4 linked regions of the Oreochromis niloticus genome follow. The protein of the gene in region 2 purifies or fractionates together with the protein of the main gene of each other region. This does not show direct contact. Links are inferred from orthologs where the notes say so. Each region holds a gene or a part of one and is shown on either strand. Other genes may lie near its edges.

Region 1 (7,099 bases), on a different chromosome or scaffold from region 2:
ATGGAGACAGATAAGAAGGAAGGACAGGAGAGGAAGAAGACAGCTTAGAGTTAAAGGAAGGACGCTCATTTAAAGCTCACATGGAAGTCCTCATGGTTTTAAATCTGTCACATTGTGTTTGTTCATAAACCTGCTGCTAATCAAACTGAGGCAGACTGACTGTGTTATTTAAAGGCTGCATGAGAATCCTCTGCAGGATGAACAGGTGAGTTTGCTGCACTGTGATTGGTTTACAGTAGAGTCTGTGACTGCTGCACAGTGGCTGTGGGTTCATGCTCACAGTTAGCTTACAGCAAGTGTATGGAGGGCCAGGAGTACCAAAAACAATTAAATAGCCCATTAAATAATTAATTGAATGTTTAAGTAATGAATTAAAATGGAAAGAAATATGACTCAAGAATATGAGTTTTACATCTGCTCACATCTGGATGAATCCAGGTGTGTACATCCACAGAGAGCAGCAGGTCAGCTGATCACAGCCTGCACACTAAGAAACTCTACTGGAGCTCTCAGTGGAAATGACTGAGTCTTTTCCCCACACTCAGACATTACAGCTGATTTAAAGGTTCCTCCACCTGCTGAATCCACGTTAACCTCTGACTGTACACGTTCCTGTTTGGAGACAAAGTCACCTTCTACAATGGAGGCAACAGGAAATAGAGACTTGTTTTTATTTCTATGCTTTTTATTCTGATTCAAGCTGAGAACAATTAGAATAAACAAAGATAGACTAAAGTTTGTATTCCCATCTATCTATCATTTTATAATTATGTTAATGTAGCACAAGGTTCAGTTAGCTTTCCACAGAAATAGTCCTCCAAAGAACTACTCATCTCCTCCGTTAGCCCTTCTGTTACCTCCTCTGTTAGTCTCTGTGTTACCTCCTCTGTTATCTCCTCTGTTAGCTCCTCTGTTAGCCCCCCTGTTATCTCCTCTGTTAGCCCCCCTGTTATCTCCTCTGTTAGCTCCTCTGTTAGCCCCCCTGTTATCTCCTCTGTTAGCCCCCCTGTTAGTCCCTCTGTTACCTCCTCTGTTAGCCCCCCTGTTATCTCCTCTGTTAGCCCCCCTGTTGGCTCCTCTGTTACCTCCTCTGTTAGCCCCTCGGTTAGCTCCTCTGTTAGTCCCTCTGTAAGCTCCTCTGTTAGTCCCTCTGTAAGCTCCTCTGTTAGTCCCTCTGTAAGCTCCTCTGTTAGTCCCTCTGTAAGCTCCTCTGTTAGTCCCTCTGTAAGCTCCTCTGTTAGTCCCTCTGTTAGCTCCTCTGTTAGTCCCTCTGTTATCTCCTCTGTTAGCCCCTCTGTTGGCTCCTCTGTTACCTCCTCTGTTAGCCCCTCGGTTAGCTCCTCTGTTAGTCCCTCTGTAAGCTCCTCTGTTAGTCCCTCTGTAAGCTCCTCTGTTAGTCCCTCTGTAAGCTCCTCTGTTAGTCCCTCTGTTATCTCCTCTGTTAGCCCTCTGTTGGCTCCTCTGTTACCTCCTCTGTTAGCCCCTCGGTTAGCTCCTCTGTTAGTCCCTCTGTTAGCTCCTCTGTTAGTCCCTCTGTTAGCTCCTCTGTTAGTCCCTCTGTTATCTCCTCTGTTAGCCCCTCTGTTGGCTCCTCTGTTACCTCCTCTGTTAGCCCCTCGGTTAGCTCCTCTGTTAGTCCCTCTGTAAACTCCTCTGTTAGTCCCTCTGTAAGCTCCTCTGTTAGTCCCTCTGTAAGCTCCTCTGTTAGTCCCTCTGTTATCTCCTCTGTTAGCCCCTCTGTTGGCTCCTCTGTTACCTCCTCTGTTAGCCCCTCGGTTAGCTCCTCTGTTAGTCCCTCTGTTAGCTCCTCTGTTAGTCCCTCTGTTAGCTCCTCTGTTAGTCCCTCTGTAAGCTCCTCTGTTAGTCCCTCTGTTAGCTCCTCTGTTAGTCCCTCTGTAAGCTCCTCTGTTAGTCCCTCTGTAAGCTCCTCTGTTAGTCCCTCTGTTAGCTCCTCTGTTGCATAATCAGGTGTTCAACACATACATCATCCATCCTTCCATCTTTTAGACCTGGAAGACTCTGTTGGTTCTTTGACCTCTACTCACTTCCTGTCTCACCTGCAAGCCACCCGCTGCCTGGTTGTATCTTTTGGCCAGATCTGCTGCTGAGCTCCAGGCCCACTCATCCTCATCATCCACATCCTCCTCCTCACTGAAATCCTGCTGCTCTGATGAAGGCAGTGCATCACTGATGCGAGTCAGCTCCACTGACCTGACACTGCAGAACAAAAAAACAAAAGAACAAACAACAAAAACACAGTCAGAGCTGCTGAAATCTCTGTGAAAGTTACTCATACAGCAAACAAGATGTAATGATAAGGGAGGAGGCAGCCCTGGTGCCCCGATGGTCAGGAGGGCAGAGGCCTGAGCTGTGAACTGGTCCCCTCTGTGGAGCTATCAGAGCTCCTCTGTGGGTTAAAGTCGTGGTTCTGTTCTTGTGGCCTGAAGCCTGCTGATTGTATTTATGTAGTAAATATGATGAGCTGAATTTTACCTGACCTGAAACAAGAAGCCCTGATGGCGAGAGGCTGGTTTGTGTATGGGACTGAAACACCGACAGCACGGCCATGGAGACTTACACTGAGAGTGTGTGTGTGTGTGTGTGTAAGGTGACGTCAGTAAACATGACAGAAAAGCTCACACATGAAAGCATCAGCTGCTGCTTCACAGCACAGAAACCCAGGTTACACCTGAGGTTACCTGGACAAGACTGAATCCTGCTATGGAGTGCAGGCCTTAGGTGACCTGTTACCATGGTGATTTAGCCAGGTACAGCCTCACTGTTTACACCGCAGCATCAAAACAAACGAACGAACTCACCTGTCCTCCTCCGCGTCATCAAACTGCCCAGGTACACACGCCGGCTCCGCCATGACGTCAAAGCCTCTCACACAGGTAAACACAGGTAAGCGCTGAACCTTCGAGACCGATTGTGCTGCGCCGCTCCTCGTGTTTGCTCCACTTCCGGGTTCGACCACGTGACTACGGAGAGCGGCGCGGGTCGGAGGATGACGTCACATCACATCCACCGATCCGTCTCTCTCTCTCTCTCTCTCTCTCTCTCTCTCTCTCACACACACACACACACACACACACACACACACACACAAACGCCCCATTCACCCAACAGCCGGAATATCCTCCAAAATAAAAACAACGAACACTTCCGGTTCGCTACCGGGAGCTTTTAAACTGAAAAGCCGCGGCCGGAAACACGTGTAGTTAGCTCGCAGCCGAAGAAGATGACGTCCTCGGAGCTGGACCGGACTCCGCGGACTCTGTTGGTGTCGGAGAGCTCCAGCTTCTTGGACCCGAAGAACCGGATCAGCGCGCAGGTGCAGCAGTTGCACTTCAACCACCAGGTGACGCTCTCACCCTTCACCTCTGACCTTTCACCTCCGAGCCGTTAGCTTCACAGCGTCGGGCTCACGGACGGCTTCATGTAAATTTAAAGTCGTGTTTGATCGAGTGCAAGGAGAGCAGTCACGAGTGGAGCAGTGCTGAGTATGCGGGTGGAGCAGCAGGGCTCAGTGTGCGAGTGGTTCTGTGGATGACCGTTCAGAGCATTGAGGTGGAAGGATTGCGTGTTCAGAGGTGAGTCAGCAGTCGCCCCCACAGAGCGGCTTTACCAGAGACTAACTTCAGGATTTGGGAGTGGAGAGTATGGATCTGCAGTCCTGACCTCAACCCCACCCAGCACCCGTGGGAGCTGCTCTGAGAGGTCAAACCTCTCAAATCTTTCACATCTCAGAACACCGCCGTCACTCCTAAAACTTCCCCCCGTTTCTTAACAACTAGATGCCACGTTGCCATATCATTTTTTTGATTGGTCGACACGGTACTTTTTTCGACTAATAGGAAAGGGTGGGGGGTTTTTTGGTTTTGTTTTTGCTCACAGGCTGAGAGTGCTTTCGAGCGTTTTCCTTATAAAACGCCGTTTTTACCGTTTCTTCCGGCAGTAAATATAAACAACGATAGTATTCAGGAAGAAAACCAAACATTGCAGATATTTTTATCATAACTCTGGTTTTACGTGGCCGATCAACACAATTTAAAAACTGGTATAAAGTCCACACTTTGTCCGTCAATTGTTCCGTCTGTCCTGCTCACATCCATAGCTGGACTGGCCATCGGGCATACCTATGGGCTCAAAATGTGGTCATAAATATTTTGTACTTGTAAATCAGTTTTGTATGTGTAAAAAGAATTTGTGCGTGCGTAAAAAAGATTTGTGCGTGTGTAAAAAAAGATTTGTATGTGTAAAAAAGATTTGTGTGTGTAAAAAGAATTTGTGTGTGGACTTAGCCAAAAACCCCCCTGCAAGTTACAAGTACGAATTTTGACCCTATTTTTCTTCCTGTCATCTGATTGGTCAATGTCATGTCAATCACAAATGTAACAATCCAATCAGAGAACAGATGGGTTTGGCTGTCGGAGGGGCACTTTTTTGAACTGCAGGTCCTTGAAGGGAATAAATGCCCTTTTACATGCCAACCCAGCGTTTTCCTTCATCACCACAAAGGAAAACAGTCTGTGGTCATCCGAGTTTGGTGATTTTTGTGTCACAGGTCTACGTGCTTTATACAGGGACTTCCACAGCCTTTTCAACAGCGCTGCGGACCGGGGGGGCAGTGTTTTGGAAATGACAGTCTTCATTACAAAGCTTTCTTCGTTATGAATTAGCATACATGTTTTTATTGAACATTTGAAGAACTAGCAAAAAAACCAAACTCTTGTAGAGGACATAAAGTCAGAGACAGAAACGACAAGGAGCAGGTGCATCTAGTACAGGTAGAGCTGCTGCAAAAACCCACAGAGCTCAGCAGCCAGCGCAACAAATTCTGGATCCTTTGCTTTTAGTTAGCAGTTAGCATTAGCAGCACATCCTGCGTCCGATGTGAAAGGACCTTTATGCTGCGCACTGTGACTCACAGCAATGGTCCCGGGTCAGCCCTGACTTTGTGTTAAACTAATCCTAAAGTAATAATGGTATTTCTAACCACTGACATACCACAACTTTATCCTTTCAACAGCTGCTGAAAGTTAGGGGACCTAGCTGCTATCGGATATTTATATAGAGATCCTCCAGCTTCAAACTGTATTACCCTTCAAGGACCTGCAGTTCAAAAAAGTGCCCCTCCGACAGCCAAACCCATCTGTTCTCTGATTGGATTGTTACATTTGTGATTGACATGACATTGACCAATCAGATGACAGGAAGAAAAATAGGGTCAAAATTCGTACTTGTAACTTGCAGGGGGGTTTTTGGCTAAGTCCACACACAAATCTTTTTTACACATACAAATCTTTTTTACGCACGCACAAATTCTTTTTACACATACAAATCTTTTTTACACACAAACAAATCTTTTTTGCACATACAAATCTTTTTTACGCACGCACAAATTCTTTTTACACATACAAAACTGATTTACAAGTACAAAATATTTATGACCACATTTTGAGCCCATACATACCGGGCATTTTCCCGGTGGGCCGCTCGTGATTTTTCGTTTTTATGGGCCGATGGGGTTTTATTTCTTTTATTTTTTCAACGGTATAAATGAATAGTGGTGTATTGGCCAGTTGGTCATGATCGACTCTGGGCTGGACCAATTACAGCCGAGGAGGTCGAACTTTAAAGTTGAGGTGAAAAGCAACGCGATTTGTCCCGATCAGCTGATCAATGATCAATGATCAGCTGATCGGCTTTTCTCTCTGCGTCAGAAAGAGCAAACCAGCGGAGGTCGCGTTAAACAACAGAAGCACCTTTAAACTTGATGAGCTGTTGTTAGAATTTATTTAATATTAATTTCTAGTATCAGCTGATGTTTGCTGGAGGGATGAAGGGTTGAAGGGAAGTTATGAACTGTTTCTGGGAGACAAATAACACCAGGATCCTTTTCTAGCTGACAGCTGGTAACTGTGCAGGGGCGGGTCTAGCAAAGTTTTGCCAGGGGGCCAGGTAGGGCATTAACAGGGAAAGGGGGGCACAAAAAATACGTTTCTTTCTTATTCTCATTTGAAATTTCTAGCTTTTAACAAATAATTATCTGAGTCATACAACCAAAGTTTTCATCTGATGTCAAATGTATAGAAATCCATTATTGTACATAGTAATTTTTTTCAGGGTCCCAACATAATTTCTTCAGAAGTAAGTACTGTATATGATGCCAGTATTTTCCCACATTTTCTAGATACTGTACCAGTACTGTGTGTAAAATACCATCAAAATTAAGTTTTGATGGTAAGTTTTGAGTGAGGAAGTTTTATTCTTTCTCACCTTTCTTTCTGTCTCCTTTCACTTTTTAAAGGTTGCCATGTTACAAAAATATTTTGCCCTGCCATGCTGTTTATTGATGTGGTAAATAAATAGTTTATGAAAATATCACTAAATCTGTCATTTATTATTTTTAATATTCAGTAATGGTCATGTCTCACCTCTAGGCTTCTCTGTCTTAATTTCAAGTTTCCACCATATGTTGTAGAAAGTTCAGGAGGTAAACCAAGCAGTCTTTGGGTTTCGGCTAAGTACTGTTTAGAATACCAGAATAGGGAGGATGGTGTAGGTTTAAGTTCTAGATTGATACATATATACCAACAAGACAGTGTACATCACTGTCACAACGACGTTTGTTTTCATTCAAAGGCTCTCTAGTTTTTCCCATAATACCTGGTGGGCCGGTCTCTAGTCAAAATGCCCGGGCTAATTTTTTGTCCCAGTCCAGCCCTGCTCACATCTCCAATGGTTGTACACGTTGTCATTAACGTGGCTTCACTGCACATCAGCCACGCCGCTTTGCTAGCTAAAACACCGGTGTCGGCACATAAGGACGCTGTCATAGCCTGTCAGCGACGTTGATTGGCTGCGTATATACGAATGTGAATCGCATTATTGGCTGGACTATAGGATAAGGTGGCATCGTTCTAATCCCATACAGGAGCAGCCAGTCACTCACTGACTAACACTGCAAAACAGAATTGTTAAAGTTTTAATATTAATTTCAATTCGGGTTAGATTTTTTTTGTGCGCAACGCAGATTTTCTGTGCGCAGAGACCGTGCCAGCAGTGCGCAATTGCGCACGTGCGCAGCTTAGAG
Region 2 (7,565 bases):
TGATTTGACAAGTATCAACATGATTTGCATTCAGAGATGCTCTTCTCCATACCTTGGTTGTAATGAGTGGTTATTTGAGTTATTGTTCCCTTCCTATCAGCTCAAAGCAGTCTAGCCATTCTCCTCTAACCTCTGGCATCAACGAGGCATTTTTATCCAGAGAACTGCCCTTCACTGGATATTTTTCCTTTTTCGGATCATTCTCTGCAAACCTCTAGAGATGGCTGTGTGGGAAAATCCCAGTAGATCAGCAGTTTCTGAAATAGCCCGTCTTGCACCAAGAAACATGTTCAAAGTGATTAAATCACCTTTTTTCACCCAATTCTGATGCACGGTTTGAACTTCAGCCGGTCATCCCGACTACATATACTTGGTCTTTGCATTGTTGAATAAATTGCATTCGCATGTGATTTGCTGATTAAATATTAGTTATATTAACAAGGACTTAGACAGGTTTACCTAATAAAGAAGTTAGTTTCACGTAGGGTGTACTTGATACCCATTATGTACCTGGCATTCAAACCCATTTAAAACTACCGACTGTGTTTACACTGTGTACCCAGAAGAAACCCACACTGTTGCAGGGAGAACATGCAAACCAGGCTGTAGATGAATCCAAAACCATCTCTAAAATACCGCACTCCAAGTCAATATAGCCCGTGGCTTAAATTTTTTTAATACATACATAGCCATTTAAAGTGTGGATTGTGAAATACACACATTGTTGTATTCTTATGGTTACTTTTATAATAAATATGACATTTTTACATTACACAGGAATATTCTTTAATGTACAGAAAGTGAGGATGCTCCAGCTGTTAACTCTTGTACCAACGCTGATGTGTAAAATGACAAAGTAGCACATGATCAGTGTTATTGTTGTCATTCATACCTCTTTGTGAAATAAGCAAAGTAGGATTTATCCGGCATAATAGGTGAACATTGGCCACTGCTCTCAGTAAACGTAATGCAGATGTTTGGCTACTATATCCCGTGTAGAAATGCAGTACTAGTACAAAACTTAGTCTACATCTAAAACTAACTTTACTTATTTACAGAGTAAACAGTAGTGATCCTCATACATATGTGATATCAAACAATAGGCCTAAACACAGAAATGTCAATAACTGTAATAAAAAAATATAGTATTGGCATAGTGTACAGTGTAAGGAGGACCATAAAGGCACGTTGGAGCTTTAATTTAAAATGATGAACTTAAAGTTATTTGACTTATACTTTCGGGAGAAAAAAAATAGGAAAATGAAGGCTTTTTTTTTTTTTTTTTAATAAACAAACCCTCTGCTCTCCCAGTAGGTTTTAAGTACCTTATTTTACGTTGTTAATTGCTACAGTGCCAGCAGCTCACTGCTTTCACCTCGAATGACATTTCTCTTAGTGCGCGGCAATGATGCTGGTATGTCTGGAGGTCTGACTCGCCAAGAATGTTAACAGCTCTCCCTTAATGCTCCCCAGCAGCTGCGCACAGGCTGCAGTCCAGTGTGCACACATCAGCAGCCTAGCATGCAGAACGGCAGCTATCCACCCACCTGAGTGTCTGTCACTCAGCGTGGACAGGTACACACCTCGGAGCAGCTAGCCTTAGCTACAGTTAACGGTTAGCCTTAACGTTACCTGGTGGGTTAAAGCCGAGACAAAGGCATCACTGTAACGACGACTAACGTTACAAAGCTACCGTTATGTGCACCGACGACACTTGTGTGAGGAAAAAAACACACACACACGTTTTGCCACTTGACATGGCTGTGTGCTTACCTTTTGTGAACACGGCAATACACCCACAAAATCTTAACCATCAAGTAAGCCAATCACTTATCGATTTTAGACAGGGGGACAGAACTGTAACGTTTTCGCCAATGTAACCTTCATTTCCGTTTTCCTACCTTCACAATAAAAGTGCAGATTGATTTGACGTAGTTATAAGTGCGCATTTACATTATTGGAATTACTTTTCTTCTCTTGTCACTTTACTGTGGGGTTTGTTCGATAAGCAGTTGGCGTAATAGGGACTACGTTAGTATATATAAACTATCCAATGCCAGAATTGTAAATAAACAGGGTCAAACTGGACATGAAAAGGAGCGCAAATGGACTTCCGGTTAGTTCAAAATGATTTTACCAACTTTTACTGCGCCATTAAACCTCTTTTTTGTAACTCAAAAAACCTATTGAGCTGTCAGACTTACCTAAACGGTAACTTGGAGTTAGAATCTGGCCCGTGGATATTTGGCATGCAGACTGGAGCAGCCAGGGATTGAACCACCAACCTTCTGAGTAGTAGATCACCGGCTGTACCTCCAATTGCATCCATAATGTTGCGTCATGTCTTTTTCTTCTTCTTCTTTTAAGGTTTTGCAGTATGCGCATAAGGTTTAAAAATGCTTTGAAATATATCAATAATGTTTTTTTCCTCTTTTGGCTGCAACCTTTAGTGGTCACCACAGTGAAGGCACCACCTCACCCTATCCCTAGCGTTCTCTTTGACAACCAAGCCTCTGCATGTTCTCCTTCACTAAATCCATGAATGGCAGCTACATATTTAACATCTTTTGTCCAGTATCTCCGCTGTCCCTCTTGAGAATGTCCAGACCTTCCCAGCCTTGCCTCTCTACCTTTCTCTTAAAACTGCTCAGCCTGAGCTGTCAATTGTGGTCACTCCCAATAAAAATCATAGCATCTTCAGCTTTTCCACCTCCAGCCCGAGTCTTATTTGATAAGAGATGACAAAAAAGAATAAGATCTAGGAAGACATGGGAATTTCTAGAAATAGCAGAAGGGGGTTTGATGTCCTCCCAATCCTGAAGACCTGGAAAAAAAATGGAAAACATAGACACGTGGCAGAATGAATCATTTATAAGTTATCTATAACGTAATTTATACATCAAATTAAGTTCTGAAGGTAGTTGGCCAAATGGTCATGCCATAGTCAGAAATGACTTGAGGCACAGAATTTATCTTCCAAAGCCCCAGAAGAAAGGACAATATCAGATTTCTTAGGCAATAAGAGGACACTGGGGAAACCTGTCACCCAGCTTTAAATCCTTTTACTGAGAGATTCACTACTATGAACATTGATCTTGTTGAGTGACAATAAAGTAGTTATTCTCAATTCTTCTACTGTGGTATTTAGAAATGAAGAATCTCAACTATTGGATGCATTGTGGTAGACAGATACCCCTTCAGGAATACTGGTGTAACTTTTGTGGTCCTCTGTCTTTGGATCTCGTTTCATCATCAGGTGAATATTTTAGTTGCTAATGATGAATTTTTTAATGATTTAAAGTGTATTTAAATGTAACGTATATGCTTGCTTTATTTTTCAAAAGCGCAAATAGTGTTACATTCATATTAACTGGTAAAAAACAGTGCTTGTTCTGTAATAAATTATAATACAGTAATAATGTTTTAAGTAATAGAAATAATAAGTGATATTATTATTATTATTATTATTATTATTATTATTAACAATAATAATAATAATACCTTAAGTTTCTCTAGAAATTATCAGCAGATGCAATGCCATCTACAAAAGGCAGTGTGTGACCAGGTTTATTTTATCTTTATGATCAAAAGCAGATGGTGTAATGAAAAGCTGAAGGGCCTTAAAGCAGTTCAGTTAGCTTAGATGTTCCTGTTGACCCGGCACAAGGAGGAAACATTACAAAAGTGGAATAAACATCAAAATTAGGCTATCTGCCAAATTGTAAATTTAGAAGTTGGTATCTGTAGCTAGAATGAAAAGACTGTAATGAAAGACAAGATACTCCAAGATTAATAACTCCTGGACTGATTTGTCTGTAACTGACATACTAACTAACTGACATAGGCAGTCACATCAAAGTACTGGTTGAAATTATGCTAAAACTTATGGAAGTTTCTTTCTGCCACTGGGAGAAAAAAATGACATAACTCGCGATTTCTAATTATTTTCTTGGATGTTTGAGTTTGTAAGGCAGAAAGAAGCTTCCATAGTAGTTAGTTTAAAAAAATGTAAACTATCTGAAGTGATTCTGTAAACTTGGAAAAATAACTACAATGAAATTAAATGATAGTGAAAACACCCCTAGTTTGGTATTGTTATGATGTATTATTGTTAGTATTGTATTATTTTGGTAAAATTTGTTATCACTAACTGCATGATGAGGCTTTGGTGAACTTGTTTGTTGAGGCTTTGGATGTCTACAAGACTGTGAGTCAACCACTTTCAAAAAGTCCTGTTGATATTGTAATATCTCTATTGATTTTCCTAAATGTTGCCTCTGTCATTTGCCATAAATACAATTTTCTTTTTTAAGTCTAAAACTAACACTGAAATGAACAAAAACTAAAACTAAATGAGAAAATGCACTCTGGAAGTTAACTGAAACTAAACAGTGTTCAAAGCAAAAAGTTAAAACGAAATACAATTTTTAAAAAAACATAAAAACATGATGTGAAAATACAAAGCTATAGTAACTCCAGGTGGCAGTACTACATTACATTACTACATTAAACCTTTGAAGAGGCCCCATAAGCTAAATAATACTGCAGAGGGCAGTAACACGTCTGGTACTATGCATGCTGCCAAAAAAAGAGAAGAAGAAGAAACCGGACAGGAAGCGTTTGCTAGCAGTTCCATGTGTTGCGCTGCTCTCGGTCATTCATTCGTGAAACGAAAAATATACGGACTCGTTTTTCATGCATTACGGGCTTAATCGTGTTTTTAGCAACCGACTGTGTGCTATTATTGATAGTAATAATAATAATATTTTCAAAAGAAATAAACTAAAGACAAAACCTGCATCATTTCTGCAGTAGCACTAGCTAGCTAACGCAGGAGTTGTGTTGTAGAAGTTTAGGAAATCTCATCAACATTTAAAGTGCGATTTCTGGATGAATAGTTCAGTGGATACTAGGATGATCAAGGAAAACCGGTGGGACATACCCCCCAATGCTCCTGCGTGCATGGAGAGGCACCTGTGCGCGGCACAATACAGAGCAGGTAGGGGAAAGGAGCGCTAGCTGAAGTTAACGTGTAAACACGTGGTGCCGCTAGTTGGTTATAATTAGTGTGTTTACATTTGTGCTAAACTGTTGAAATCCTACGTTGACTCTCTTATGTTTACATCCAACAAAATGTTAAAGAAATAACATTTTCTGTTGAATACCAGTCAGACTAAACTTTTCTGGCAGGCGATGAATGAAAATATAGACGTTTGAAAGGTTTTCTCGTTGGGCTTTCTCCACAGATGGCACCCTGCTACTTGGTGCCTCCAGCCTCTCTGGCAGAAGCTGGCAGGGATCTGTTTGGATCTACAGCGACCCTGACCAGGCCCCCAGTGAGGGATTCTGTAAAGCTGGTGTGCAGACTGAGGCTGGTGTCACAGATGTCAAATGGGTGTCAGAGAAAGGAATTATTGTTGCCTCAGATTCAGGTAATGAAATGTTTTTATGGCAGGTGAATCAAGCACACACTTGAGGCTTGTATGAGACTGGTCTCATTTGTCTGTGCAGGTGCCTTGGAGCTCTGGGAACTAGCAGAGGATGAACGTCTACTGGTTAATCGCTTTACCAAGAATGATCATGACCATATTGTCACTACAGTAAGCCCCATGGTTGGAGCAACCGCTGCAGTCACTGGCAGCATGGACTGCAGGTTAGACTTGTTTTACATGGACATACATACACCATTCCACCTGTCACAACAGCGCAGAAGCAATGTTAATTGCTTTTGTTTCAAACTTTGGCTTACTTAATTTTTGAGTTGCCCTTGTCATCCCTTAAAGTGCATCTTTGCTTATTATTACAGAATTAAAGTCTGGGATCTAAGTCAGGAAATGGTTGTCACTACCTACAATGGTAAGCGTCATCTTAACATTTCTTCATATAGAAATGCACAAAACTTATAAAAATGCTTTTTTTTTTCCATAATGTGGAAAAATAAAAGTAAAAAATGTTTATTTTTTGTAGCATTCCTGGATGTATAGATTTTAGATTAATTAATTTACCAAGGTTTTTTGTTTCTATTGCTGATATTACCAGACTATCCCAGTGTCATATTCCTATTGACTCTTTGGAACGATGTATTGCTGAAGGAAAGTTTTATATTAAAATGTCATAAACATCATTGACATGAAAAGTTTAACTCAACAGTTCTTGTTGTTTTCTTCCCACAGTGCACACACAACCAGTCACTTGTGTTGCCTGCAGTCCTACAGATGAGTCTCTGTTTCTCTCCTGTAGCCAAGTAAGATGCTAATCAGCGTGTTGTTTGCATTCTTGTCGCAGAGGTTTATTTTTTGGACCGCAGAGCTGCAATCATTCAGATAAACTCAACTTCTTCTTCTTCTCATCCCTTCTTAGGACGGGCGTGTTTTGTTGTGGGACAGGAGGAAGCCCAACAAACCTGCATCAAGAATAGGTAAGCTACTTCACTAAGCTTTGATAACCACTTTTGCCAAACACTACTGGAAGAGTAGTTGAGATTAGAATTGGTAAAGCTGCACAGGAAATGAATTATGACAGAGAGTAAAATTTGTTCCAAAACAAACAGTTGTGTTTACAAATTTATGCCAGTACACAGACTATGCAGCAGTCATTCACTCTGCAAATGTATGTGTGTTAAAGTTGGAGTATGTACTAATACCTAGCAGGTAGACAATATTGCAACTGCAATGGAGTTGATTCCTCCACATATGCAGCCATTACCAAAGTAATCAACCCAAATCCAGAGCCTTAACTTTTCCCCCATGAAGACAACATTTGACAACACCTCATCTGTCCCCTTAATGATGGATTAAAAACCCATGAAGATGTGATTTGATGAACATTAGAGTAGTTTTCAGGTTTTTCAGGTGTGGCGGAATAGGCAGAGACCATCCTCACTAACTTACATGCAGATTCAATCATTTAGTTCTATAAGCAGGCCTGAAATATAATGAAACCTCTTAGTTCACAAAAGAGCTTCAAGGGTTACTTCTAGAAGGCTTTCAAGGTTTAAAGAGTTAATAAGAGTGTTTCCAAAACTTTGGAAGTGCTCCATAATTACCTAACTAGCTACCTAGCGTTTTATTTTTGTCTAGATGATTAAAGAAGGACTTTGTGTTGTTGTTCCTGGAATCCGTTTATAGGCTGTCTTGGAAATATGTCTGTGCTGTACAGGATATCCTGTGTAAGTAATGAGAGATGGCAAGCGCATTCTCAGTTTCTGTTTTTGTTTTGCCTCAGATGTAGAGTCTCCTAGCTGCTCCCCTACTTCTCTAGCTTGGCACCCTCACCACAGAAGCACCATTGCTTTTGGTAAGACGCTGCATTACATTGTTGAGTCACATTTGATTAAGACCTGACTTTAATTGAGACAAAGTTAACTTCGCTTACATTCTGATCGTGTTTCAGGCGATGAGCTTGGCAGGGTGACTGTGAAAGATTTCCTGGGATCGGAGCCATCTCGGGTGGAGAAAGTTCACAGCCGCAGAGTTAATGGGCTGGCCTTCTCCACACACAGGTAAATGTAAAGTCTGTCACAGTCTCACCTTTGGCTTTATTGCTCTTTTACAAAATTCTGACTT
Region 3 (7,563 bases), on a different chromosome or scaffold from region 2:
ACCAACAGACAGGATTGGCATGAGGTGCATACTGAATCTACAAAAGCTTGTGATGACATCACAGCAGAGTCCTGCAGAGGATGGATTCGCCACTCCAGGAGATACTTTCCTCGCTGCATTGCGAGGGATAACATCTGTTGTGATGTAGATGAAAATATGTGGCCAGACAGACAGGAACGTCTGGATGTGCCAGAATGATTTACTGTACTGTTACATGTGCTGTTTATTGTTCACATTAGTGCACAGCTCTACCAAATGGGTGATTTTATGTTTACATGTATTCTACAGTGAACAAGTGACTGTAGCATATTTTTCTTTTGCACAATTCTGTAGGATTACAAACACTTCTACACAATGGAAATGTGAAACGTACGTATTCAGTGTCTCAGTTACTCCCAAGACTCCCATAACATCTACAGTGACTTCACTGCACATTTCAGATGGCTGTACAGGTAGGCCATAGTGCTGTCGTCAGCATTTTCAGGTGTCACCAATTGTTTTTGCAATGGGAAACACTGAAATTATAAACTGTCATAGTGGAAACATGACAATGCCATTTGACTATCTTGTTCATACAGATGGTGTCAAGACTTTTCATTTTGATGGCACTGGCAGTTTCATTGACATGGATACTTGCTTTTGCGGTATGGATAATCAATTCTGTGCATGTGACGTGCTTTTGCAGGCTATCCACTAGGTTTTGCAGTTTGCACTAATTGTTTTGGGAAATGCACTAACTGCTGTGCAAATGTTGATGGTGTTCTGAGAAACGCACCAAAGCGACTGAGAAAAACTGTAAGGTCACACTATACCAAATAGTATTTAAATTTTTATGTCCTGGGAAATAAGTTTCTGAAATTATTTCTAAAGATCAATCAAACTGAATCTAGTGATTTGTTTAATCAAACAGAACATGTTAGACAGAAGTTAAAGATTTGAAAATACTTTTCTTACATATAAACAATTTTGTCCCTAAATAGCAATTCAGTCCTGATATTTATGGCTAAGTAGACTTTTCTGTTGTTGTTTATGTACACATATGAAAGGTCTCACCTTTTACCACTTTTTAAAAGGTCAAAGGCCTTATTGATTTGAACCAGCGGGAGCTTCTCCGTAATAAACTCATCCAGTTTCAACTTGTGATTCATGTAGTCATCCACCAGTTTAGGCACATCCTTCACACTCTTCCACCCTTTAGAAAAAGTTAACAAGCTCAACTTGTAAACATGTTTTCATGTAATATGAATTGCACTGTTGTAAGACCGTCCTGTGGTCACATTCACAGCCAATTCGCTGCACATCAGATGTGAGTTTGATGTGCTCATAGTACATGAAACATATGTAAATTTATTGTTACAAATTGTAAAAGTGATTATATAGTTTATGTAGGATATACCTAACTGTCTGTCCTCACTGAACTTCTTATATACGTTTTGAACTCAGGAACCAAAAACTGTTGGTTATTTTGACAGAAATTTAGATGATTCATCGATTGTTTAATTTATTAACTGAGCACAACTCAAGACTTTTTACGTATTCTCATTTTTCTGTGGGTTATTAAATCGTACTTCAATAATATTTAGGTTCAGGAATGTTGATCAGAGAAAACAAGCAATGATTGTTTTGAATGCTTTACCTAAAAAAAATTAATAAAATAAAATTATATTACAACCAAAGCAGTTGTAATATAATTTTTAACACATTTTAACTATTAATAATCCAATAGCAAAGTTTTTTACCCCAACATGACATTACATTTTGCCCTGGCGGACAACATTAGGGACAGTTTTTCAGGATGATACACTCAATTTTATGTTCATCACTCAAATCTACATTTACACCAGAAATGCAATTAAATAATCTAATATGTATGGTAATTTTTGTTTACTTCACCTCCAAAATAAGTGCCCTTTAAGGTACGTCCCATGAGAAGCTTTTCAACTGAAATGCTCATTGTTTCTGTCTCTGTCCATCCAGCAATGACACAAGTACCCCAGGCATCTCTTGTGGACTCAAGTGCAGCATTCTATGGTGACAGAAGCAGTTGCTTAACTAATTATCATTTTGTATTTGTATCATTATCTAACTCTTTCACTTGTGTCACTTTTTGCAAAAGAGATCAAATCTAGGTTAACAAAGAAGACATTGTACAGTGTACTCTAATTATAGTCACAAGACTTAATTTGCATTGACACAATTGCATGCCAAATTTCAAATGAGGCACCCACCATGATAGCTGGACTTCCAACACACTCCAGCGCATAGTCCACACCTCCACCCGTCATCTCCACCACAACCTCTTGGATAGGCTTGCTGTAATCTCTTGGGTTTATACAGTCTGTCGCTCCAAACTGTCGGGCTTTCTCAAACTTGTCAGGGTTGATGTCAACCCCGATGATCCTTCTCGCAATGGCAACCTTGCAACCCATGACGGCAGCCAGCCCAACAGCTCCAAGCCCAAAAACGGCACACGAGGAATCTTTTTCAACCTGAATGCACAAAAGTTGGAAGCCAGTCAGCTAATAGTTCTTAAAGATCATTTCAGCGTTTTCACAGATAATTTTTACAGCAAATATAACATTTAGAGTACATTCCTTTAAACACATACATGAGATATTATCAGGTCTGTGAATCTTGATTAAAACTATGTCTAAATAAATAACCCATGCAAGGATTTCCACGCATTTTTAGTTGGTTTCTTTTTAGTAATGGAGTACAAAAGTGTCCTGATTTTGTCATTTTATTTATGTTAATGTGTGTGGACCTACTTTTGGCTGCTCCCTTATTCACAACGGGTCACCTCAGTGACTTTGGCGATTTTTAAAGCAGATTCCTTTCCACATGCAGCCAACACAGGAACATGTATTTCACATGTTATACAAATGTGTAAACCATTGCACTATGGAACTATTTTACATTATTTGAATTTGTGTAAAGTAGTTGACATGTACACCTTATCCAGAAAACTTAGTGGCACTCGTGTCATTTCTGCCCTCTAGTGTTGATATTAAATGACTACAGTCTTGCAGCATATTGTAAACATAAAAAAGCAAAAAACTTCCAGATACAAATATCACTATTTTTTCTTTTTTTTTTTGGTTAAAATATCCTTGGCTGTTTATATATTGTCATGTTCATCAATATATCTTTTGAAATTTGTTGCTTCGTCACATCTGTTCTAAGAGTATTAGTTTGAACCTTTCGAATTCAGTTTTCTAACCTTGCCTGCATTAATAGCAGCTCCATAACCAGTGGAGACACCACATCCAAGCAGACAGACTTTGTCTAGCGGTGCATCGCTTCTTATCTTTGCAACCGAAGTGTCAGGGACCACAGTGTATTGAGAGAAAGAACTGACTCCAAGGAACTGGTAAACCTGCTGTCCCTTGCAAGATATCCTGCTAGTCCCATCAGCCAAAACTCCAGCTTGCATATTTGTCCTAAAAGACACATAGAACAGTATTTACGTGAACACATTTTAAGTAATAGAGTAAACGTGGTTGTCTCAAAAATGGGGAAATAAAATCACCAGTTTTTCTTGCAATGATTTGTTTTTGGACTTAGACAGCGTTCACATTCCCCACAGTATGGCAGAAAAAGAGGAATAACTTTGTCTCCTGCGAAAACAACGAAACAATTATGTAAGTCTGAGAAGAAAAAAAAAAGAGAAATAAGATTCATAACAAATGTCATCTGACTGGTTGTGGTACACTTTACCCGGGGAGACTCTAGTGACTTCTGGACCAATGCTCTCCACTATGCCAGCTGCCTCGTGACCAAGTACTAAAGGGAATGGTCTGAATTTCATCCCTTTTCCAGTCTCAAACAGGTATTCCCAGTCTGTGTGGCACACACCCGTGGCAACAACCTGTACAAACCAAATGATGTGCCAAATGATGTGACAGTTTCAGGAAGTGGAAGTAGTCTGTGGTTAACAGTCACACTAACAGGAAATAAAATAATCATATGTAAATCATACTTATTGTTGTATTGCTGACAAATTTGAGCTGTGCCCAACCTTAATTCGGACTTCATGAGCTTTAGGTGGTGCCACCTCCACTTCTTCAATACAAAGAGGCTTCCCGGGCTCCCACGCAACAGCTGCCTTGCATGTGATCACCTAAAGGGGAAAAAAACCCAAACCAAAACAAATATGTTTCCAAAGATGAGTGACTGTGTTTGGGCGCAGTTACAGATGCAAACAAACAATGAACACTCTCCATGACAGAAAACTTTAGAATGAAAAGCAGAACCCCCAAAAGCAACAGTAGCTGTTTATAAGACAAACAGTAAAAAAGAAAAAAAAAAGCTTAAAAACAACTTTTTTCTTACCTTTCCATCTGTTGCCATTGTTGGCAGATGATGTCTTCATATAAAACAGCCTGTATTTGAACAAAAAATTTAAATAAAGGAATAATTAAATCTGCACTTGTCACCAAAACAGCTTCGAGTTACATTATATCAACATTTGAGTGGGTAAAGTTGAACTGACCGAGTCAAACAGCAGACAGGTTGCGCCCTCTTCTAATTCTAGTTTTTCTTCAATGGTTTAGCTCTGTCAGCGCATTTACGACACTTTCCGAGACCGCCCCTTGCCTTTACGGCACGTTATGGTCACACGTGTTGTAGTCGCATGGAAGTTGGCACAGCGGTCTGAAGTCTAGGCAGTCGGTCAAATTTGTGAGTAATTGTCTTTATCTGTGCAAAATCCGAGTTGCGCACTTTTTCGGTGTGTATATTTTTTCAACGACTACGTATCGTGTTGGTTTATGTTAGAAAACTCCGATGGATTTTCGTACTTTTAATAACTGAGTTGTGCTAACGTAAGCTAACCACTTCAGCTAGCATAAGCAATAGCTTCCAAGTCAGCATAGTTTGCCCGAATCATGGGCAGGCTAATTCATTCATAAGTGTTTAGCTTCAAGCATGAACTCACGTGAGCTGTGTCGTCTTTGTGTTTTTATAATTTCTTATTTACAGTGCATTTGAGGAGAATGTCTTTCAGAGGAGGAGGACGAGGTGGTGGAAGAGGTGGAGGTTTCAACCGAGGTGGTGGAGGATTTGGACGAGGTGGAGGAGGATTCGGTGGAGGCAGAGGTGGTGGAGGATTTGGACGGGGTGGTGGAGGATTTGGACGGGGTGGTGGAAGAGGGGGTTTTAACAGACAGCAAGATTATGGACCTCCTGAGTATGTTGTTGGTAAGCCCAGAGCTCACAAAACGCTAAACCGAGTGTTTCTTTATACACATGTGAAGCTAACCTTTTACCACAGCTTCGCGTGAATTCTCAGACAATGAGATGCAAGCAAACCGTCTTGATATTGCCAAAAAACTGACTCTGTAATATTACCATTACACAGTTATGGGGAAGTGGTGTGGCTGAGTAGGTAGGCTGTGACAATTTTGTCCTCATCAAAGATGGAGACTATCCCAAGGATATGGAAAACAAGACCTGTGTCCTGTTGCTCTTCTTGGTGCATTGTACTGTAAAGTCACCACGAACTAGTCTGTGCAGTCACAAAAAAACAAACAAACAAACAACAAAAAAGAAAGGCAGGCATGCAGATGTCCACACACACCATCTTGCCTGAATCTATGTAAAGGCCATGTAACCTATGTAAGATGACATTATCGTGCCAGCATTTACCATGTTAATTACTTTTGTGGTAGAGTCCTGGCAGTTTACATGTGGTGCCAGTCACGATAGAAACAAACAAAATACCAGAAAGTTTTTTTCCCCTTCTGGCTTGCCACTCTTTGCTTTGTCATTTTTATATTTGTTCCTCTAGTATTTCCACATCTTTGTACATTTCCCTAGTGTCCATTCCAATAGTTTTGACAATCTCCTTCTAGGAATTTGCTGCCATTTGTGAGTCCGTATTATGGTTTTTATTCCTTTAACAGATCCTTATATTATTATTCTGTCATTGATAAATTCTAGCACTGCATCAAAAAAGTAGCCAGAAATGCATAGGCGAAATCAACGGTATTCAACAGGCCAATCATGGTAGTAGTGGCAGTGTTGATGTGACATGTAATTATATTTCTATGTAGGTGCATATCAGTTTATCAGGGTAGGTTACATTATAGGGTTTCTCAGCGTCTGCTATGTACACTATTGCCCACTGAAGCATAAATTTCCAGTCAGTGTTAGCAGGCAACTCTAAAACAACGGTGGACCTTTGGGTGTGTGTGAATGGAGAACTTCAGTAAATATTCTATGTGACAAGAGTATGAAGTTAATACACCGTGTGTCACCTACATGAGGAATTCAAGATCCAGTTCATGTTAATTAACTTTAACTACATGTTTCCAAGTTGTCCTAAATACACCAGAAAACAATTATATTTCAAAGATGTTAAATAATATTAGTAATAGTATTATTAATATAATAGTAGTGGTGGTGGTGGTGGTGGTAGTAGTAGTAGTAAGAATAGTAATAATAAAATGAGCAATATGTAAGTGTTTAAATTCAAACTGCATTACAGACAAAAGATCAATCTTTTATATATTTAATGATCATCCCACAAAATGTGAATATAACATGCTGTACCAGGAGTTAGGTTGCCATCTAATATATTTTAAGTCCACATTGTAATATTGTTAAAGATGTATCTGTGTTTCTACTCATTGGGCTGTTCAGAAACAGATTTTTTTTCCAACTTATTTGATCTTTTTGTTTTTATATGTTTATATTCTAGTGCCTCAAAGTTTCTGTTTTAGCATATATTCTGGGTCACTTCCTTTAACCCCCATTTATTCCCCTGGCCTCCAAAGAATTTCAGACGTACAGAAACCTTGTGCTAGATGCCCATAAAGTGAACTGCAGAGCAGTCAAGCATATGCTGACTTATTATAACCAGACAGAAATTTAAATTGGTTGTCAGTCATGGTATTGCACGTCTTAAACTTTAACTGTTTCATTGTCTTCACACCCTTCACAGCACTGGGAGAGTTCATGCATCCATGTGAAGATGACATTGTCTGCAAGTGCACAACAGAGGAAAACAAGGTTCCCTATTTCAATGCCCCAGTGTACTTGGAAAACAAGGAGCAGATTGGGAAGGTGGATGAGATATTTGGCCAACTCAGAGACTTTGTATCCTTTCTATTGTCTTTGTTTTTCTCCAAACCTTTGATTGAACTGGTGGTGGGGATCTGTTTGACATTGTCAGTGTTCTTGTTGCTTCCTTAACCCATCTTTGCAGTATTTCTCAGTAAAACTTTCTGAAAATATGAAGGCGTCTTCATTCAAGAAACTACAAAAGGTACCAAAAATGTCTCAAAGTTTTCTAGTGATTAATTTAATACCTCAGATTTCTAACCAAAATGTTGGCTTTTAGTTTTATATAGATCCAATGAAGCTACTACCACTGCAGAGATTCCTCCCGAGGCCACCAGGAGAAAAGGGGCCTCCAAGAGGAGGCAGAGGAGGGGGTAGAGGTGGAGGAAGGGGTGGTGGTCGTGGAGGTAAGATGGCATTCTCATTTTAATTTAATCTTCTGGCTAAGTGTTTAGAATAGATAACAAAACAGACATTTGTGTTTTTGTTTTTCTCTAGGAA
Region 4 (7,102 bases), on a different chromosome or scaffold from region 2:
AAGTATCTTGATGTAAGTGTTGTAGATTAGCTTCATCCCACAGATCAAACACTTTGTTTATTAAGTTAACTGGTGATTCTAAATTGGCCAAAGAGTTAAATCTAAGTGTGAATGATTGTCTGTCTCTCTGGGTTAGCCCTGCGATAGACTGGCATCTATCACTCCTATGACAGGCTGGACAGGCTCCAAGAAAACAGACAGAGACAGACATACTGCCTTTACCCAGAGGACAAGGACATAAAATAAGGCTTTATGAGATATAAGTTCTATGGAGCTTCCATACACAGATGGTGTTGAACAAGTGAAAAAACAAAGTCTGGGCTCTCGGGATCTACAAATGCCTCCCTACTAAAACATCCTCTGTAATCACGTTGTAATAACAATTATATCACATGGTTCAAATGCTTAGCTAAGTTTAAGTTCATTCATACAATTGAATAAATGTAATATCACAGATATTATCATCATATAACATTTAATCATGTTTGCACATTTAAAGCCTACCAACAATGCCATTTTGCTTGGTTTTGACAGTGTTAGGTAAACGTCACAGCTATCTTTTTTTAAAGAAAACATTTTTTAATTTTTTGACCAATGTTTTCAGAATAGTTTTCGTTTACTCATTCTGTTGGTTTTTTTTTTCACTTTTTCCCCTTTTTCTTCTGCCACCAGCATGTGAAATTACACAACCGTGACATCCATCCCAAATGAGCCTATATGGAGGGGTTTGCTGTTCCATTTTAGTTTGTTTTATTGTTTATAGATATATCTATGCAATAAAAGGGGGGAAATTAAAGTTCTTGGGGGGAAAACGCCTGAGCAGATCAGAAAAACACAAAGATTTAAGTTAAAGACAAACAAACAAAAAAGAGAGATAAAGCATGTACTTACTGAGTTAGATCTTGACCACATTCGGCACATAAGCCCTTCATGACGATGGGATGGCTGCATTCTTCTATTCTGACTATGATGCCCCTGGAAAAAGGAAAAAACAGGAAAATAATTAAAGACCCAATTAACTTGCTTGCAAACTGAAGCCTGGGACTGTGCACAGATTCTCATTAACTGTAGCATGCAAGTACATAAAGAAACATAAAGAAAGCTGTTAATTAGGTGTTTCACTTTATATAGCTGTAATAATAAGACGCTGTTAAAGTATTATAAACAGCTAACAGTAGACTAAGCCGGGAGCAAGAGTTTACAAAGAGTACCTGAAAGCAGCACGACCCTTTCCTAATAGCAAATAACAACTATATCAGCTTTGAATGTGTATTAATATCAAAAGGTGTCGAATTTAAATGTAAAGTTTTCAAAAATAGGACATTTCTTTTAAATTTGATATATTCCGCATAAGAAGTGATGCTAATACTTAATAAAGCACAAAGAGACCGGTCAAACCAATTAAAGAGAACTTCAAAATCTCCTCTTTTACTAATTAACTGCTAAGATACACGTCTCCCGTTACTGTGAATTAATACGCGTTAAAGTACATATATATATATATATATATATACACATACACACACACACACACACACACACACACACATACATACATATACACGGCTGGTTCAAGCTCACGAGGATAACGGCTGCCTCCAGGGTCACTCTTCTACCTGTCAATCTGCACTGCTTGTACACAATTTTGTGCACGCGATAGTGGCTGCGTCAAGGCAAACAGCACGAGAGCATCTACCACGTGGTCGCGCCTTCAAAACAAAAGTGCGGAGGTTTGTAAATTCAATCATTACTGCATGTTAATCAAAATTCTGATATAGCAAATAAAATTGTTTTCTAACTTTCTCTTTCACCACAATCACAACTCCTGACAAAGCTAGATAAAATAATATTTATAAAACACGATGCTCTTATTTTGAAAGCCCCCGACGAAACGCCAGCTTGTTTATTTTGCGGTACTTGACTGGTCAGAGCAAACGCTCCGCTGTGTTGCTTTGAGCGTGGCTAGCAAACAAGCTAACGTCAGGTTAACAGTGTTAGCTCGTTAGCTAGCTTAGGTACAGTGAGCATGAAGACAGCTGCAACAAAACTGAGCTGACACAAACAGGGAACAGGTCAGCTAACATTAACGAGCTATAGCAAGCAGGGTGACTCACCCGGGAGATATGACTTGTCCAAGTTGACTGCATAGCTCCTTCACTATTCCAGCACGGTCCGATTTCACCTTCTTCTCTGGCAGCCTGGCACCATCAGTCCCCTTCTCTTGAGGTATGGGTGCACACAGTGCTAGCACGGAGTCCACGTTAACAAGAGAGCCGGCTTTGACTTTCCACTCTATAAGCCGGACAGGGAGAGCCCCGGCTGGCCAGCAGATATCCGCCACCTGCACCACGGGGCCCTCTGCAGCTGCACCACCGCCGCCACCACCAAAATCTGCAGGAGGATCCTCCATCTGCCCCGCACTCTCCAAAAACAAAATCTCCTTACTTTTGAAAAGCTGACAGCTTAAAAGGTATCCACTCGACCTCGCAAAGCCCCGTGTATCATTAAAACGTGCGAACCGTCAACATCGAGGAGAATTAAAACAAATGTGCTGCAGATTTAAACACAGCAGCTCCACAGTCCCAGCTACGTTCGCTCTTCCCGCCCGTAAACAGGAAAGCGCAACACTGCAGCGACACGGGTCGCTACAGCATCCGGTATACAGCAAGCCACTCGCGAAAAACACCAGAGAACTGCTATCGTCTCCGAGAACGCCCACTCTTTGGATCCCTGTTTTCTTAGAGGGCGCTCGCGAGGTAGTCCAGAATGAATACATCCCCGTGGACGTGAAGCCCCCAAATGTAAATTCTGTGGAGAATGTTATGCTGGGGACTTTAATCGTGTGTTTTTATAGGTGAATGTGAGACAATGGACTCAGTTAAATTTCGAAAAACATTTTACGGGGTTCGATTGTAGTTAAAATGCGTTTTATGTGACAGCGCAATAATAAGACACTTTACGGCATCTGCCATTTTGATTTTGGGCACGAAGCTAGTGAATCCTAAATTGACCAATCAACTTGCAGGTTTGGTTTTCGGAAAATCCGATTCTTTCTTTTTTAAGATAAAGGAAATGACGTAACTGTTGTTATATTTTAGGTCGTCAAAATTATAGGTATGCAAAAATTAATAATAATAGTAATTTGTGGGTTTTTGTCTAGAAGCAGGTTTTAGCCGTTTAGGTCCTTTTACACTTGTGATCATCGAGGACGAGCTCGCCGGCGCCCTCTGCGGTGCCGCTGGCTAATCTACAGTCAGTTTGTGCACAGTGGGATTAATAGGAAATGAAACTACTTCCCTCGATCGTCTCTGAACGCAGTTTCTACTTAGGTTTCAAAATAAAACGACTCGTGGATTGTTATTATCGGCAGATGCCTCTTTGTGACGCTTTTCACAATGTTGCCGTAAACTTTTAGAGTCACCAATGTGGTTATTTTAACTACTCCTTATTATAGATATCACCTACATAGCGCTTACATATTGTGTTAAAATCCACTCGAACCGTGCAAGATCTTTATTTATTTTTCCCTTTTTCGTTAAAGCCCCTGAACCCGCACAGACATGGTGTTACCTGACGCAACTTGATGTAACATATAAGTAACACTACACAAGTGTCTCATGGGGGTTTTGCAATAAGAGCATGATATTTACAAATGCAGTCATGTTTAAGGTGTAAGTGAAGGAGGTTGTTATAGTTTAAGAAAGCCTTAGGTTTGATTGTATAGATTACACCGACCCTCGAGTTATGTTAATATTTAACTTTCCAGGCTGAAGATGGGACTGAAGGAAGGAAGCAGAGGAGATAGATGATGACCTTACAGGACAAGGACGTACCTCGCGCTGTTCTAACTGTTCAATGACGTAGAACTTAAGCACCTCCTTCCAGAGTGTTCGTTTCAACTAACCGAGATGTTTCACTACCCGATTTCTTTTTCACGCAGGTGTGAAAACGCCTTTCTTCTTATATTTCACAATAAAAGCCCTAGAAATAATCTTGGAATACCAGCGATAAAACATAGCTTACACAAGTATTTTATAGCAACTTCCGTTAACGTTTGGTATTTAAAAATAATCTTATACTATGTTCTACAAATTATGAAATAGACATTTTTTTTCTTATTAAATTTATGAAAGTTGTTATGCTTTTGAGAAGATTGTCTGATATGTGGGGTTAATGAAATTGAATCTTCTTTTTTTTCATTGAGGCAAAATTAGTAATTTAAAGGAACTCATGAAATTCCTGAAATTATATTTTAAATAAAATTATGTATATTGCACACAAGAGGGCTTCTGTTACCTAACCTAGATCATTGTCAGTGGGTGGATGCAGTGGGTCGATGGATGGACTTAGCACTAGTGTGGTTAAAGTTATACAATCTATTTCCATCAATAAATAGACCTATTTGCTAAAGACAGGTTCTAGTTATTAACAAAACGTTTGATGTTAAATTAAGTTTTCCTTTGCACATTCGTTAATTTTAGAAACACACACACACAGTGGAGGGAAGTATCTGCATTACACAAGGAAGTTTCTCAATGATCCACACATTACATCCACCATGACTTTTGTCCCATATCATTGGCACTGTATCAGTGCAAAAGAGACAAAGATAGTGCAAAGGTAGCCCAGGCCGTGGCAGCCAATCATAATTCAAATACACACATGTCCAGTGTGTGTAGGAACCAAACTTTCTGTGAGGTAGGGGGACCTTTGTGTGTCTTCAGGCAGGAGGTGTTGTTGTAAGATGGATCTAATGATTAAGGTTTTTTCTAAAAGAATCACATCAGATAAGAAAATGTGACTATTTTCAGTTATCTAAATAATAAATAACTAATAAATCTTTTCACTTGTAGTTTTTATTTGTACGGCCGAACGAGCTGTCAAAAAAATAAACGGAAACTACAGTATGTGGGAGGGTACCATCTCGCATTGCGTTACTCTTTGGTTAAACATCAGCAAACCAGTGTGCTGTTAGCAGTTTATGAAGGAGAAAGGTAAAGCGTTTACTGGTGGCTGCTGACAAGGAATATTAATACGTCTCTTGGAGCTTGTCTGTTTTAATAACTCGGAAACATGATAGCGGAGAACTGTAAAGTGGTAAATAAATCTTATTTATTACACATTTTTAACCCAATTCTCTCCAATTAGCAAGTTAATTGCTAGCCAGCTGCAATTGGGCCCGGTGTGTTAGCGTCTGTATATATTATCTGAGATTAAAATTGAATGTCAAGGCCGTGTTTAAAAAGCATGCTGTTCACTGGAGTGTTTTAAAGCATTTTTGACATGAGAGGACACATTCAACACTTTGTTTCCAGCAATGGTGTGAGTAGGAGAGACACGCACGGCTGCAGGAGTGGATCGTCTTCAAGTGTTCCTGCGAGCTGGCTGTGGGAGGAGGGGGGTTGGGCTGCTCAGATATTTCAGGGCTCTGGTCCCTGACCCCGCTGCCATGTGTAAATTAATTTATCTGCAGTGGAAACATTTTGTCCCTCGAAAGCAAACTGCAAAGAACAACAAAGTGTCAGTATAGCTGCTCATGTTCGCCTTGAACCAGACGTCCTCGCCTCCTATCACACACACACACACACGCGCGCCCACGTTTTCTTGCTGTTACTCAGAACACAGTGTCTGTCCTCGTGCCCTCAATCCCTTTACCTAACTCGCGGGGCTGGTTAACGTTCACTTAACTTGCGCAAACACAGAGGTCAGACGTGTCAGATGGAAGTGGTGCTGTAGGTCACTCATACATTGCTTTGTTTTTCTTCAGTTGACGTTATGTCTGCATCACCTGGCTCTCCTCCGAAGAGCTCCGCTTCCTGGCTCCTCATCCCTCTCAGCAAGGCGATCTTTCAGTTCACTCAGGTAGCAGACAGCTGAGGACCGTAGATGAGCTTCAGTCTATGCTCAAGTCTGCATGCAATGAGACTGTATGTGTGTGTTTTAAATCTTGCAGGGAAGCTAAGCACAGAGGCTTGTTATGGAAGACGCTCGTTGGCCTCTCTGTTGGTGTTCCCGTGGCGGTGAGCGTCAAGTATGCCGTATCGGAGCCCAGACAGAGGAGACAGATGAGGATTGTGATTGAAGGATTTGGCCGCTTCTGCAGGTTTGTATGAATGTCATTATCAGCATCATGAGATTCTAATACGTGTTCAGTCTGAGGCTGTGAAATGGTCTCTAAATGGTGACTTCTTATCTATTAAACTTGCATATTAGACTTGTATATCTAATAGTGTTCTCTAAGTATTGTCAGGAACATTAGCTAAAGTAGGTCATTTTTTTTCATGAATGGATAAAAGCAAAAGAAACAAAAAAATATCCTGACAGCATTGCCTTTTATGGAAATCAATCATTTTATGCCTTTTATAAGGTTGTAAATTCCGTCTCATTACTTTTAGTTTTTGGGTGACACCACAAGACTGAGAGCAGGGTGGAGACGGGCAGGAGCGGATGTGTGGCCAAAGTCAATGTAGTTATTAAGCCAAAATGGCTTCTGTTTTGCCCTCATTTATTATTCCACCAAGAGGTTACGTTTTTACTGTGTGTGTGTCATTCGTTCTGTCTGTAAACATGACAGCCCAAAAAGTTAAGGCTGAACTCTGATGAAACTTTGTGGGGGTGTAGAGTGGGGTCATGTTAGCTTTGCATCCACTAAGCTATTCAAGGTCCGCTTCATAGAGGGTTTTCACCTACCTACGTCACGTTCTGGGTGGTAACCTGCATGCGCGGAGGCACTCGGAGGTAAACACTGCAATGGATCAATGTCCGAAACCACAGAAAAGCTCCTCAAAATGCATTATAGATGCAAAGGCATACAGGGAAGGACTTGGTCCGCAGGAAAGGGCACGATATTTGGAAAAGTTAAGGTTTACTGGTGGTGCAGATCCATACGAGTTGGCTCCTTCGTCTTGGATCAATGACGACCTGGAGAGTCTTCCGTCTATTGCATATCCTGATATCGTCAACTGCCTGGTTTTCTCACCAAGCCCATACACAGCGGAAGATCACACTAGAAAATTAGTTAAGAGCCGCTGCTATCAACAATTCACTTACCTGACAAGAAATGAGCCGAACAAATTCCTCAACCGCCTCCTTTCCTCTGATA

The links.
Region 1: the proteins of wdr77 (region 2) and riok1 purify together in Homo sapiens (affinity purification with mass spectrometry; 5 studies listed by BioGRID and IntAct, with this or other methods). This does not show direct contact. The link is inferred for Oreochromis niloticus from reciprocal best matches to the Homo sapiens genes WDR77 and RIOK1.
Region 3: the proteins of wdr77 (region 2) and gar1 purify together in Homo sapiens (affinity purification with mass spectrometry; 3 studies listed by BioGRID and IntAct, with this or other methods). This does not show direct contact. The link is inferred for Oreochromis niloticus from reciprocal best matches to the Homo sapiens genes WDR77 and GAR1.
Region 4: the proteins of wdr77 (region 2) and ctdp1 fractionate together in Homo sapiens (co-fractionation; 3 studies listed by BioGRID and IntAct, with this or other methods). This does not show direct contact. The link is inferred for Oreochromis niloticus from reciprocal best matches to the Homo sapiens genes WDR77 and CTDP1.

Annotation. Positions count from the first base shown.
Region 1 is NC_031982.2:34,663,979-34,671,077, reverse strand, and holds the start of riok1 (serine/threonine-protein kinase RIO1), read right to left. Parts: upstream 3,022-7,099; 5' UTR 2,873-3,021; coding exon 2,820-2,872; intron 2,218-2,819; coding exon 2,046-2,217; intron 1-2,045. Other genes in the region: rpp40 (ribonuclease P protein subunit p40), read left to right, coding at 3,242-3,361. UniProt on the Homo sapiens protein: Involved in the final steps of cytoplasmic maturation of the 40S ribosomal subunit. Involved in processing of 18S-E pre-rRNA to the mature 18S rRNA. Required for the recycling of NOB1 and PNO1 from the late 40S precursor.
Region 2 is NC_031970.2:22,062,868-22,070,432, reverse strand, and holds the start of wdr77 (methylosome protein WDR77), read left to right. Parts: upstream 1-4,563; 5' UTR 4,564-4,890; coding exon 4,891-4,999; intron 5,000-5,246; coding exon 5,247-5,432; intron 5,433-5,511; coding exon 5,512-5,653; intron 5,654-5,806; coding exon 5,807-5,856; intron 5,857-6,173; coding exon 6,174-6,244; intron 6,245-6,360; coding exon 6,361-6,418; intron 6,419-7,224; coding exon 7,225-7,296; intron 7,297-7,392; coding exon 7,393-7,501; intron 7,502-7,565. UniProt on the Homo sapiens protein: Non-catalytic component of the methylosome complex, composed of PRMT5, WDR77 and CLNS1A, which modifies specific arginines to dimethylarginines in several spliceosomal Sm proteins and histones.
Region 3 is NC_031966.2:13,611,151-13,618,713, forward strand, and holds the start of gar1 (H/ACA ribonucleoprotein complex subunit 1), read left to right. Parts: upstream 1-4,540; 5' UTR 4,541-4,680; intron 4,681-4,980; 5' UTR 4,981-4,994; coding exon 4,995-5,199; intron 5,200-6,943; coding exon 6,944-7,098; intron 7,099-7,207; coding exon 7,208-7,267; intron 7,268-7,342; coding exon 7,343-7,469; intron 7,470-7,563. Other genes in the region: alcohol dehydrogenase class-3, read right to left, coding at 1,054-1,192, 1,894-2,026, 2,229-2,489, 3,221-3,440, 3,530-3,617, 3,718-3,868, 4,019-4,120, 4,333-4,350. UniProt on the Homo sapiens protein: Required for ribosome biogenesis and telomere maintenance. Part of the H/ACA small nucleolar ribonucleoprotein (H/ACA snoRNP) complex, which catalyzes pseudouridylation of rRNA.
Region 4 is NC_031985.2:31,525,260-31,532,361, forward strand, and holds the start of ctdp1 (RNA polymerase II subunit A C-terminal domain phosphatase), read right to left. Parts: upstream 3,005-7,102; 5' UTR 2,411-3,004; coding exon 2,115-2,410; intron 976-2,114; coding exon 892-975; intron 1-891. Other genes in the region: adck5 (putative aarF domain-containing protein kinase 5), read left to right, coding at 5,074-5,097, 5,768-5,862, 5,954-6,103. UniProt on the Homo sapiens protein: Processively dephosphorylates 'Ser-2' and 'Ser-5' of the heptad repeats YSPTSPS in the C-terminal domain of the largest RNA polymerase II subunit. This promotes the activity of RNA polymerase II.